Drosophila melanogaster: one gene and its partner. The protein of the gene in region 1 interacts with the protein of each later gene in a pairwise test. Each region holds a gene or a part of one and is shown on either strand. Other genes may lie near its edges.

Region 1 (5,076 bases):
GCTTTGGCCAACAGAGTGGCAATTGCCAATCGGAACAGCGAAACGCGAGTGGAGTGCCCGCCAAACCGCAAACACCTGTTGGTGCAAAAGTTGGCAGAACACGGCGAGAAAACAGGGGGCCACTTCTCCTGCTATGGAATAATAATTTATTTATGTATCTACCCAAGAACCGATGGACTGTTGATGTATCGTTTATATTATTTAATAATGCCGAATAAATTATTAAAAACAAAAACTAGCAATGCTATATTCCATTGGCCATCACACTTTCTCCAAGTGCAAGGTTAAGGTGACAGGGGCGATAGGTTGCCGCCGGAACAAACGACTTACTTGTGTCGTCGTATCTAAGGAGTTTTCATGTGGGGAGAACTAGTGGGAGTTGGGTGAGAGAGCGCGGGCGAGCCAGAAAGAGAGAGAGAGAGTGGGCAGAGTGCACAGTGGAGCAATGCGGTGAAACCGAAATAGAACCGTGAGTCAGATTAATTAATTCGCTGTGCACTTGGTAACTTATTGATGGGACCGCAAGGATTGACAAATGAAGGATGGCTGGCTCATTACTAATTGATAAATGATCGAAAGCTTGGATTTTCTTTTCTTTAAATTGATGGGGATTAAGGTAAATGGTTTACATAATTACTTTATTGCCGTCGTAAAAATGAGAAATAGGATATACGGAATCCTTAAAATATTACAGGAAGGGATAAAATCGTAATTGTTCTTTTTTTTTACGAGCGACCAAACGATCGTTAATTGTGGTTAACCCTAGAAAACCTCTTAGGGGTTGCTACGAGTGAGGACTCAATACTTAATCTAGCCCAACCAAATTTTGCTACACAGTTAACTTTGGTTAATCATGAGTTCATTAATGTTTTTATGTTTTAAAGGACCTAAATATGCAATAGATATCAGGTATGAATTATAAATTCATTTGCATATGTTTGTGCATACATTTTTATTTTTTTGTATTCATCAGCACCGAAGTTCAAAATTGTTCTCTGTGTATGGGTATTTGTCTACCAACCAATTAGTGGCTACTGTCTACCTGGCCTGCGACCTTTGAACTTGCTGTGTGGCCGGCAAGTGGCAACAGTTGGTCGGCCATAGAGCGGCTCTATAAAGATCTATTTTCCCCTTACTCTCTGTCTCTCTCTCTCTCTCTGTCTGTTTGTAGCTCTCTCTTTTTTCCCATAAGATGATTTCTGAACGCAGATAATTATTCTTATTCTTATTATATTTTTGTATTAATTTGAGCCAATAATTTTGCCTTTTTCCAAAATTAGTTAAGCATAATAATTTCTATTATATTTCTTATTAATTTAGAAACGTGTTCAGCTCAAAGCTAAACAAAAACATGTCAAAAGAAACGGAATTTTTGTTCAGTGCAATAAGATCTCTGAGCGGATCTATTCAACAGTCCAAGTTCTACGTCGTCATCATGATGGTGTAAACACATTTGCCAAATCACATCACAGCCCACTGTTGAGCCGGTCTTGTGAGAGTGCGATAGAGAGGGGTCGCCCAGGCCAAGACAGAGAGACAGAGAAAGAGACAGGTGGAGAGAGAGGGAAGGCTATTGCCCGGCAACTGCTAATTGGGATGGCTAAATGCTGCATTGCATCCTCTGCCGCGATTCCTGCTGCACTTACGGTGCATCGTCGTCTATCCTGGCGCTGCCCACGCACGAAGAGAGAAGTTCACACTCTTCCCGCCTTCCGCCGGCGGTACAGAGCAAAAAAAAATTTTATTAATTTCGGTTAATTACAAATTTGTACCAGGGACTTAAGCTAACGAATTTCAGAACCGAAACATTCATAAGCTTATGCTTAACAACGTAATTATATAAAATAAATAAAATTGGGAATTTGCTAGCATGCCAAGCATGTGATGTGTAATGTGATCCTTGGTCAAGAGATTTACATTCTCTCTTGCTTGCCCAATGCAAATTTCTCTCAGTGTACGGGCCAGCTCTCTCCGACCATCTCGCTCTCGTTCCGCCGTTTTGCTTTGCCAGTGACTTTGCTTTGCTTTGGCGTAGAGAATGCTATAAAGCAGACCGCAGCAGTGGAATAGCAGCAAGTCGACTGCTGGCCGCGTAACAGTAAACACACCAACGAGCGGACGTACACGGAGCGAAAGAAGAAGTTGGCTACCACGAAAGAGTTATTGTTTGTTAGAAACACCAAGCGCAGCAGCAGCAGCAGCAGTACAAATATTATTGTGTGCCGTCCGAAGAGAACAGCTGAGCCACACGCTGTTTTTTAACGCTGTTCCGTTCTGCGGCACTTGCTGTTTGTTATCCGTATCCGTCGTGTTTCGTCGTCGTATTTGAACTCTCTTTTTGTTACTGTGCATATATTTTTGAAATCTCTGTGCTGCACACAGCGCAGGGGGAAAAGTGCTAGAATTAGCAGATCATCAAGACATCTGGCTAACCTGTGATTTCCAACACACCCGAAGGCAAATTGGCAACAAGTTACCACCGTAAGTCTCGTGTCGATCAACAAGTGAAGATGTTAGTTAAGTGTGGCAAAAGAACTGAACAAGAATTTATTGCATTTGCAAATATACATATGTACTATACCGATAGGAACGCGTTTTAAGAAAGTAATCATGCTTTTAATTTACGTGATGTGTGACTGTTATTTGTGATTCAATATAAGAAGATTAAGAAGATTAATAAGATTTTGTGAAATTTTCAAACTATGCCCAAGACAAATGTAGCCCACTGTTTTGGGGGTAGGGGATTTTCAGAAGCTTTGCTTTTGAGCATAAACCGTAATTAGAAGGCATTAAAAACGTGTGATTTGGAAATTCGTGAATTAAACCTTATAGGATTTCTCTCTCTCTCTCTCTCTGTGAGAGAGTGTGAGAACCCAAATTGAGTTTAAGAATTAGCTGAAGTTTCCATAATAACCACTGGCCAAGTGATTAGTTCACATGGTGGGTGGAATCCGTCTAGTCCAAACCATAATCCCCTGCCCAGTCTGATCTGATCCCGGAACCAAATTGAGTTTTGCCAAAGGTTTCAGCATTTTTCATGTGCATTTTTTTTTCATCTAACCATCGACGGGGAGCAGAAAATGTTTACCAAATTGAATTACACATTTTTATGATGTGCTGGTGCCTTGCTCTTCCCCCTTCCTCAAAGCCACCGCCACCCCGCCGCCTGACAGGCCTCAGGTGCTGTCCTGAATCTGGAAATCCGTGTGTCCGGGTGCCGAAGCCGGAATGGAAGGAGTCCACGTTTTCGAGAGCGGGAATGCATTTATGGCGCCGCCATTAGGGTGGACCAGTAAATTAGGTTAATTGTAGAAAGTAATCGAAAGCTTTAACAGCACCAAATTGCATATTCTGAATCAAGGAGACTGTATTTTTCCCACACTGCAAGTCACATTTCAATATGTAAGTGCTGCATTGAATATGTACATGTTCAACTTATAAATGTGTATTCTATATATATATATATATAGGCACATAATCTATAATCTGTTTTGTAATCACTACTGCTTTTTGCAACTTTATGGTAAAAAATACTTTGTAAATCCTTTGGTGTGCACCAAAATGAGCATGAATGCATAAGCAAACATAAGCGCTTAATTATGAAAACATACCGATTTAACTAGAGTCCTGGATTATAATTGACCGATTATTTGATTAAAAGGCATCCGAGGCATTCAAGAGCAACCAAATATTGTTGGCCGTTGATAACCATTGCTGGTTGCCAAGGTTTCCATAGTATTTGCAATCGGCTCAGAAGTGAAATGCTCTGTCTGAAATTCCGACTTAACTCCCCACCAGATAACCTGTTGCATTTCGCAATGGGGTAAACAATGGAATCACCTGTGCGCCCCCACATTTTGGCCTTCATATGGAAGCACATTCGTGCGCATTCATCTGGAAAATTGATGGTAAATTTCGCATTTAGTTTGATTCTCAATTGAATCAACAGTTCTAAGCCTACTGCTTACGTGTTTGTGCGATGATGATGATGATGTATAATGGTCTATCCACCTTTCGCAAATTTGCAATGGACAAGGAGGCGGTGCAAAGGTCTGTACATAAGTCCAGAATCTCAAGGGGTGATAAGCCTAAAAAAAAGGCAGACTGTTATATGTCAGATACTCGTAGATAGTTAGAGGGGTTTTTCAATGAAAAACTTAGAAGTGTTATTTTGCCTTCTGACACTTCACAATGAATATTCAGAAAAAAAAAAATGGGGAATTAACAAAGCAATATGATTATGATATGATATTATATCAATAGTTTTATTTATCAACATTCAGGTGTGCACTAATTTCTTGCCGCCAAAAACAAAGCCAATCAATAATTTATGTAGATAAGCATTTTGCTTATAACCATGCATTTTCATTATTGAATTGTCATTTTTTATCTTAGTTGAACCCAACTCCGCCTCCTCCGCGTAGATCGTGTGTCAGCCACTTGTCTTGTTTGACAGCACACCCAAGTGGCATTAGCATTTGGGGACTGAAACTGGAACCATTGGCCAGTTTGCCCAAGAGAATTTCTGGGATTGGTTTTGGGTTTCTCCAGTGCACCGCAGTGCACTCCTCTCGGGCCACCACTTCAGTTCACGGAAGGCACCACTTGGTGGGAGTCGGCTTGAAGTACGTGAGTTTATTTGGCTGAGCACAAAAATCAGAGACTCGAACAACACACAAGATCGAAAACAAAAAACAAAATTAAACAAAAAATATAATAAAATAAAAGAAGTGAAGTGAAGAGCAGGGTCGAGAGGAGAGGAGGGGAGAAGTGCCTAGAAATGGTCTGAAATGTGCATTAAACGCTTTGCATAGGAAAGCGACATGGACATGGTATGGGGATTGCGCCGGAGATTGACATTCCCATTCCCATTCCCGTTCGTATTCCTATTCCATTGGGCTACCCACTCCTATTTCCATTTCCCATTCCCTAACCCAAATCCCTACTATACCATTTTCACTTCGAGAATCGCAGAGAACACACAAAACACACATGTGAGAATGTGCCGGGTGTTGGGATTATTTTGTGGCCGGGTGAGGGGCCTTCAGGCCTTCAGGCCTTCGGGCAATAACAATC
Region 2 (4,956 bases), on another chromosome or scaffold:
CCAAACGTTCAGTTTAGCGAAAAAAAAAATCAAAATTCATGAACATACGTAGGTTTTGGTAGTGAGCCAGAGCCAGACGGACATTCAGATATTCAGACGGACGGACGGATAGATATGTAGATAGATGGATGTATGGAATAAAGTAGAATAGGTAAATGGATAGTATGCATAGAATAATAAATAGATGGAACCGCCCGCGCGGGCATCATAGACAAATCCCCAAGGAAGGTGGAAGGTGCGAGGCGGGGCTGCCCAGTTCCATATGTAAACAAAATGCAGGCCACCGTTGCCGGTTCGTATCGGGTACGTATCGGGCACGTATCGGTTAATCGGTAAATCGATTCGTTCTGGTCCGCTTCGCTTTGGGTCGGCTAAAGTTAATATAAACAAGCGGGGAAAACCAGAGACAGGCCGTAATTATTGGACCGCATGTAAAATAGTCTTCTTAAGGCTAAACAAAAATTCTTAAAGATAGCCCTCACTAGAACCGAAATGAACTTGATACTCTGCTTTTGCGTCTGCTTCTGCTTCTGCTCCTCTGCTTTTTTTTTCCGACATTCGCCGCTGTTCTCTTTCAGCAATTGTGTGGAAAATTGAAAATCAAATGAAATGCGGTCGCGCGAACAGTGGAAAAGCGACGGAAAACCTACGACGAAAACGGCAGGGGGAAAAAACATAAGCAACAATGTCAATATGGCAGCACTGCAATCCAATCCCAAGTCCATCCAACCGACCCAACAATATGAACTATAAAAGCAACACGAAAATATCGAAGTCCGCTTAACTAGAGGGCAAAACAGTAGAATGCAGCACAGAGACCTTGTCCAAAGTTGGAAAATGGATGGTGGGTGGCTCGTGGGTGGCTGGTGGGTGGATGGTGTCCCGTGCAATATGAAAAGAGAATACATAAAGCCGGGCAAAAAAGAAATGTGATTGTCCATTTTGTGGTTCTATTCAAAGACGAGAACGTGAACGAAATAAAAGTTTCATTTTTAAAAGCGCGGACTCAAATATATTAATATTTTCGAATATCGCTGGTAAAACCCATTTGTGTCTTGTGGCTAAAGGACCAGCAAAGTGCCCCTTTCTGAGATCCCCTAATTTGAAGAATTATCGATACATTTCTCCGATAACTTTACCATTGATTTAAGTCGCCTCGTATTAATACTGTTTGTTTCCATTATTGCGGCTAGGGTCTGGCTTTAGGGTGAACTTGGAAGGGGTAAAAGTCAGGTGGTGGGTGGACGAACACCCTCGCCCTTTGGTGGGTGCACTTTTGTTTTGGGTGGCGGGGCAATTAGGGGGCGTGGGATAAGGTTAGTGGGTGTTACAGTAAGCCACAAACAATCTGCTGTTTTTTATTTATTCCCTTCCTCCTCTTGCTCCACCTCTTTGTTTTGCTTTGTTCGGTTCGGTTGTGTTCTGTTTTGCAATTTCTGCTATCACAGCTGCAGTTTAACCATACTTTCCCCCATATACATATGTATGTATATTTTTTGTATTCCTTTATACTGGGCTGCTACGTACATAGGTGTGTTAATATTATATGTGTGTATGGGTGGGTGTGTGGTTGGGGCAGGGTGATTTTATGGGCGGGGTACAACTTATAGGTTAAAAGGGCCTTCTTTGTTTATCATTATGCTTATTGTAGGGGGTTCATTCTTTTAGATTTAGAGGGGTTTTTTCGGGGGGCTGTACTCACCAAGTGATTGAGCATAAATCGCTAAAAATATCGAGAGGAATGAAAGAGCGCTAGCCAAGAATTTTGCCTCCATCTTTGGTATTGATCCGTTGTTGTTGTTGGTTGTTGTTAATTATGCTGCCGATGTGTGGTTGTTGTTGTTGGCGGTGACTTGTTGTTGTTGTCGTTTTCGTTATTTCCTTGTCATTTGCATTTATTACAGATTTGTGAATTTACTCCGTTTAATGATTGATTAATTATTTGTGGCTGTTGGTTGGTTGGTTGTTGATGTTGTTGTTGGTTGTGGTGTTTCTTTTTCTTTGCTTTTCTTATTTTTTTTTTTTTGTACTTTAAGCTTAACTTACTAAATCATTATGGTAAATATTAATTTATAAATAGATCTTTAAATGTATACGTTATTAGGCTTAGTTATTTAATTTGATATTAGTTGATGCTGTTGATGTTGTTGGTTGGTTGTTTGCTTTGGATCTTCCGTTTGGTGTTTTGCTTGAGTGCGAATTTTTCTATTTTTTGGCTCTTCCAGCTTTCCTATTTTGTTCTTAATTCATGAAGCTATATTCGCAAATAAAAATATTTAAGAAAATTTCTCATTTTGCATTTATTTTCGTATGAAGGCAAACTTTTCGTGCGCTTCCCCGTATTCTTTTTGTTGTGTTTTTCGTTCGGTTTTATTTGTATGCTTTTTTCCAACAACAAAGGCAAAAGGAAAGACGAGTGAGAGAAAACTTTTTAAAATTATACATCAATATTCAAATTAAGAAGAGATTGTGGAGAGGAGCGGAATCAAGGATACAAAAACAAATCGAAAAGATCAAAATCAAAACGAAAGCCGAACGAACAACATTCAACATTCAGCTAAATGTATAATTTTTCAAATGTCACATTTAATTTTTTTTTGTTTTATTTTCACTGCAGCTAAGCACGTGCTGTTCACATAAGTGGGGCGGCGGGTGGTTGGGTTTTTCTTTTAGCCCGCTAATTTAACGTTAACTTTTGCAGTTCTTTTTTCACACGCACTCACACAAACGCACATCTAACTTTTCCCAGTCCAAAAGTTCTATTTTTTTGCTGGCTAAGCAGAAAAAAGAAATTATGGCACGTTGACGACGAAAATACTATTTTTCTGGCTAGCCAACGAGCAAAAGAGAGGGAGATAGAGTGAAAGCAAGAGAAAGAGAGTGAGGGATTCTTGAGACTGAGAGCAAATAATTATGTTTTACACAAGGAGCGCAACAATTTCTAGCTGCTTTTTAGCCAATGGCCATTGTTGTTGCTGCACGTACTTGTACTAGTGTAGTTGTTGTTTCTGTTTGGCTGTTCTTGCACAACGGGAACACAAAAAGCAAACGAAATTTGGCAAACGGACGGGCCAAAACGAGGCAAACAGAACAGAGCGAACAGAGCGAACGCGGCGAATTCAGCGAGCAGACTGAATCGCACACATGACCAACGGACGAGAGTAGCCGCCTTCGCTGCGGCAGCGACGTCGACGCACAGTGATTTGGGTTCAGTTTGACATACACTTGTCAGCTTATCTAAATAGTTCGGCCGTTATCTTGACCAGACCGATTACGAGTACTGTACAAAATGGCGAAAAATAAATCGAGTTTAAACGACATTTTTTCATTATACAGGAATCTTTAGGAATTTGAAATCACCTGTTTTATTTAAAACAAAATGCAGAAGCTAGGTCTGACTTCAAGCTACTAAATTAGCTAGAAACTTAAAAAAAATTTTAAAACCATAAATTGAGTTATTAATCAATATTTGCTCTTGGAAACCTTATCTTACAGTTCAATAGGAATTTCCCAAATTGACGGAATTACAATGTACTTGTGCTCGTATGGGCCTGAAAGTACGCTACTTTTATTCACTTTTCTCTCAGCCTATAGAAGCACTTAAGGAACAGTATCAAACAAATTGCAATCGAGCAATGATTCAACAAAAATCACCAAGTGACAGAGTCTGCGAGTAATTACGACCAATTATTTGACGATCGAAGAAAAATAGCATTCCATTTGCTTCACCGCATGACGTCCGCATAAAAGCTGATAACAATTGGCCCGAGATCTATTATTACTTCTAGAATTTCGTATTGCGGATGTGTCGAGAAAACAACTATTCCCACTCTTATCAATGCGGGAGGACAGTCACCGAGTAAGCAGAATAGATAAGAAAAAAAAAAGGGTAGAAGCTATCACCAGAGCTGGCCGATTTCATTATCCATGAACATTAGCTTTAAAATTCCTCAACTGACGAAAGGCATCAATGTTTGAAAAACAGCTAAAATAATAAACCTTACATAAGAATTAAAATTCTTACTCGTTTCTATTTCCCCCCAAAATAAAAGCCATAAAACACGTAAACATTTTTGAAAGCAATTGTGTTATACAAGGAAACAGCTCAAAAAAAACTAGTCAAAATAAATTCTCAAACTTTTGGCAATAAAACCGTCGAACGGACAACGCTAAATCATAGTGCGCTGGATTTTTTGTTTACCGCCAGACGACGTGCGGCCCTCAGCAGAGCAGATAGAACGCCAGTTGAAATGTTTCCGTAACGTGTCACGAATCCGACTCTCATTCTATCGCATTAAGATAAAGCCCCAATGCAGTACTTTGAACAAATACGGGACTCCGTCCGTCCGTCCGTATCACCAACACCAATACTACCGCAACCAAAAACCACACCAACGTCTTGGCCACATGATATAATACCGTAGCCGGAGCATGGTCGACAACGACGTCAGATGTCCGCGGCCCAGTCGCCGAGTCCCAAAGACCCAGACCACCAGACCGTCCAAACTGACCGCCTCTGGTCCATTGCCGTCCCGCTCGCACTGCCGCTCTGGTTTCGGGCGGTTCTATGCGGTTCGCACACGAATGTAGATCTCCATCTTTTCGGAAGGCAGGGAACTTTGCTAATTCGGCATGGGTGTTGGAAAGGTAGGGGTTTTTTGCGGGTTGGCGGCATCGAGGGGGGTTGTCTCGTCGCATTTATTATTGGTCAGCCGTATTTATTTTTACAAATTTGCGAGAGCAAATATGAAATCAGCTGTTCGCATTGCCCGCTGAGATTAAAGCGATCAGGGGGGTATATAGTATTTGATGAGGTGTTTCCAACAACCAAACCATAGAGAACATTTTGCAATGCTTGCAATGAGTTCATAAATAATAAAGAAGCAAGAAGAGTCATAGGACTTGTAGTTGACAATAGAAGTACTAATAATTGACAAATTTTCCAAAGTTCTTGCC

What was found.
Region 2: the proteins of out (region 1) and Bsg interact in a two-hybrid assay, tested with the Drosophila melanogaster proteins (one large-scale study listed by BioGRID).

Annotation. Positions count from the first base shown.
Region 1 is NC_004354.4:19,319,061-19,324,136, reverse strand, and holds the start of out (outsiders), read left to right. Parts: upstream 1-2,030; 5' UTR 2,031-2,481; intron 2,482-5,076.
Region 2 is NT_033779.5:8,086,483-8,091,438, reverse strand, and holds the start of Bsg (basigin), read right to left. Parts: upstream 3,136-4,956; 5' UTR 2,923-3,135; intron 2,830-2,922; exon of another isoform or gene 2,734-2,829; intron 2,337-2,733; exon of another isoform or gene 2,046-2,336; 5' UTR 1,776-2,045; coding exon 1,703-1,775; intron 1-1,702.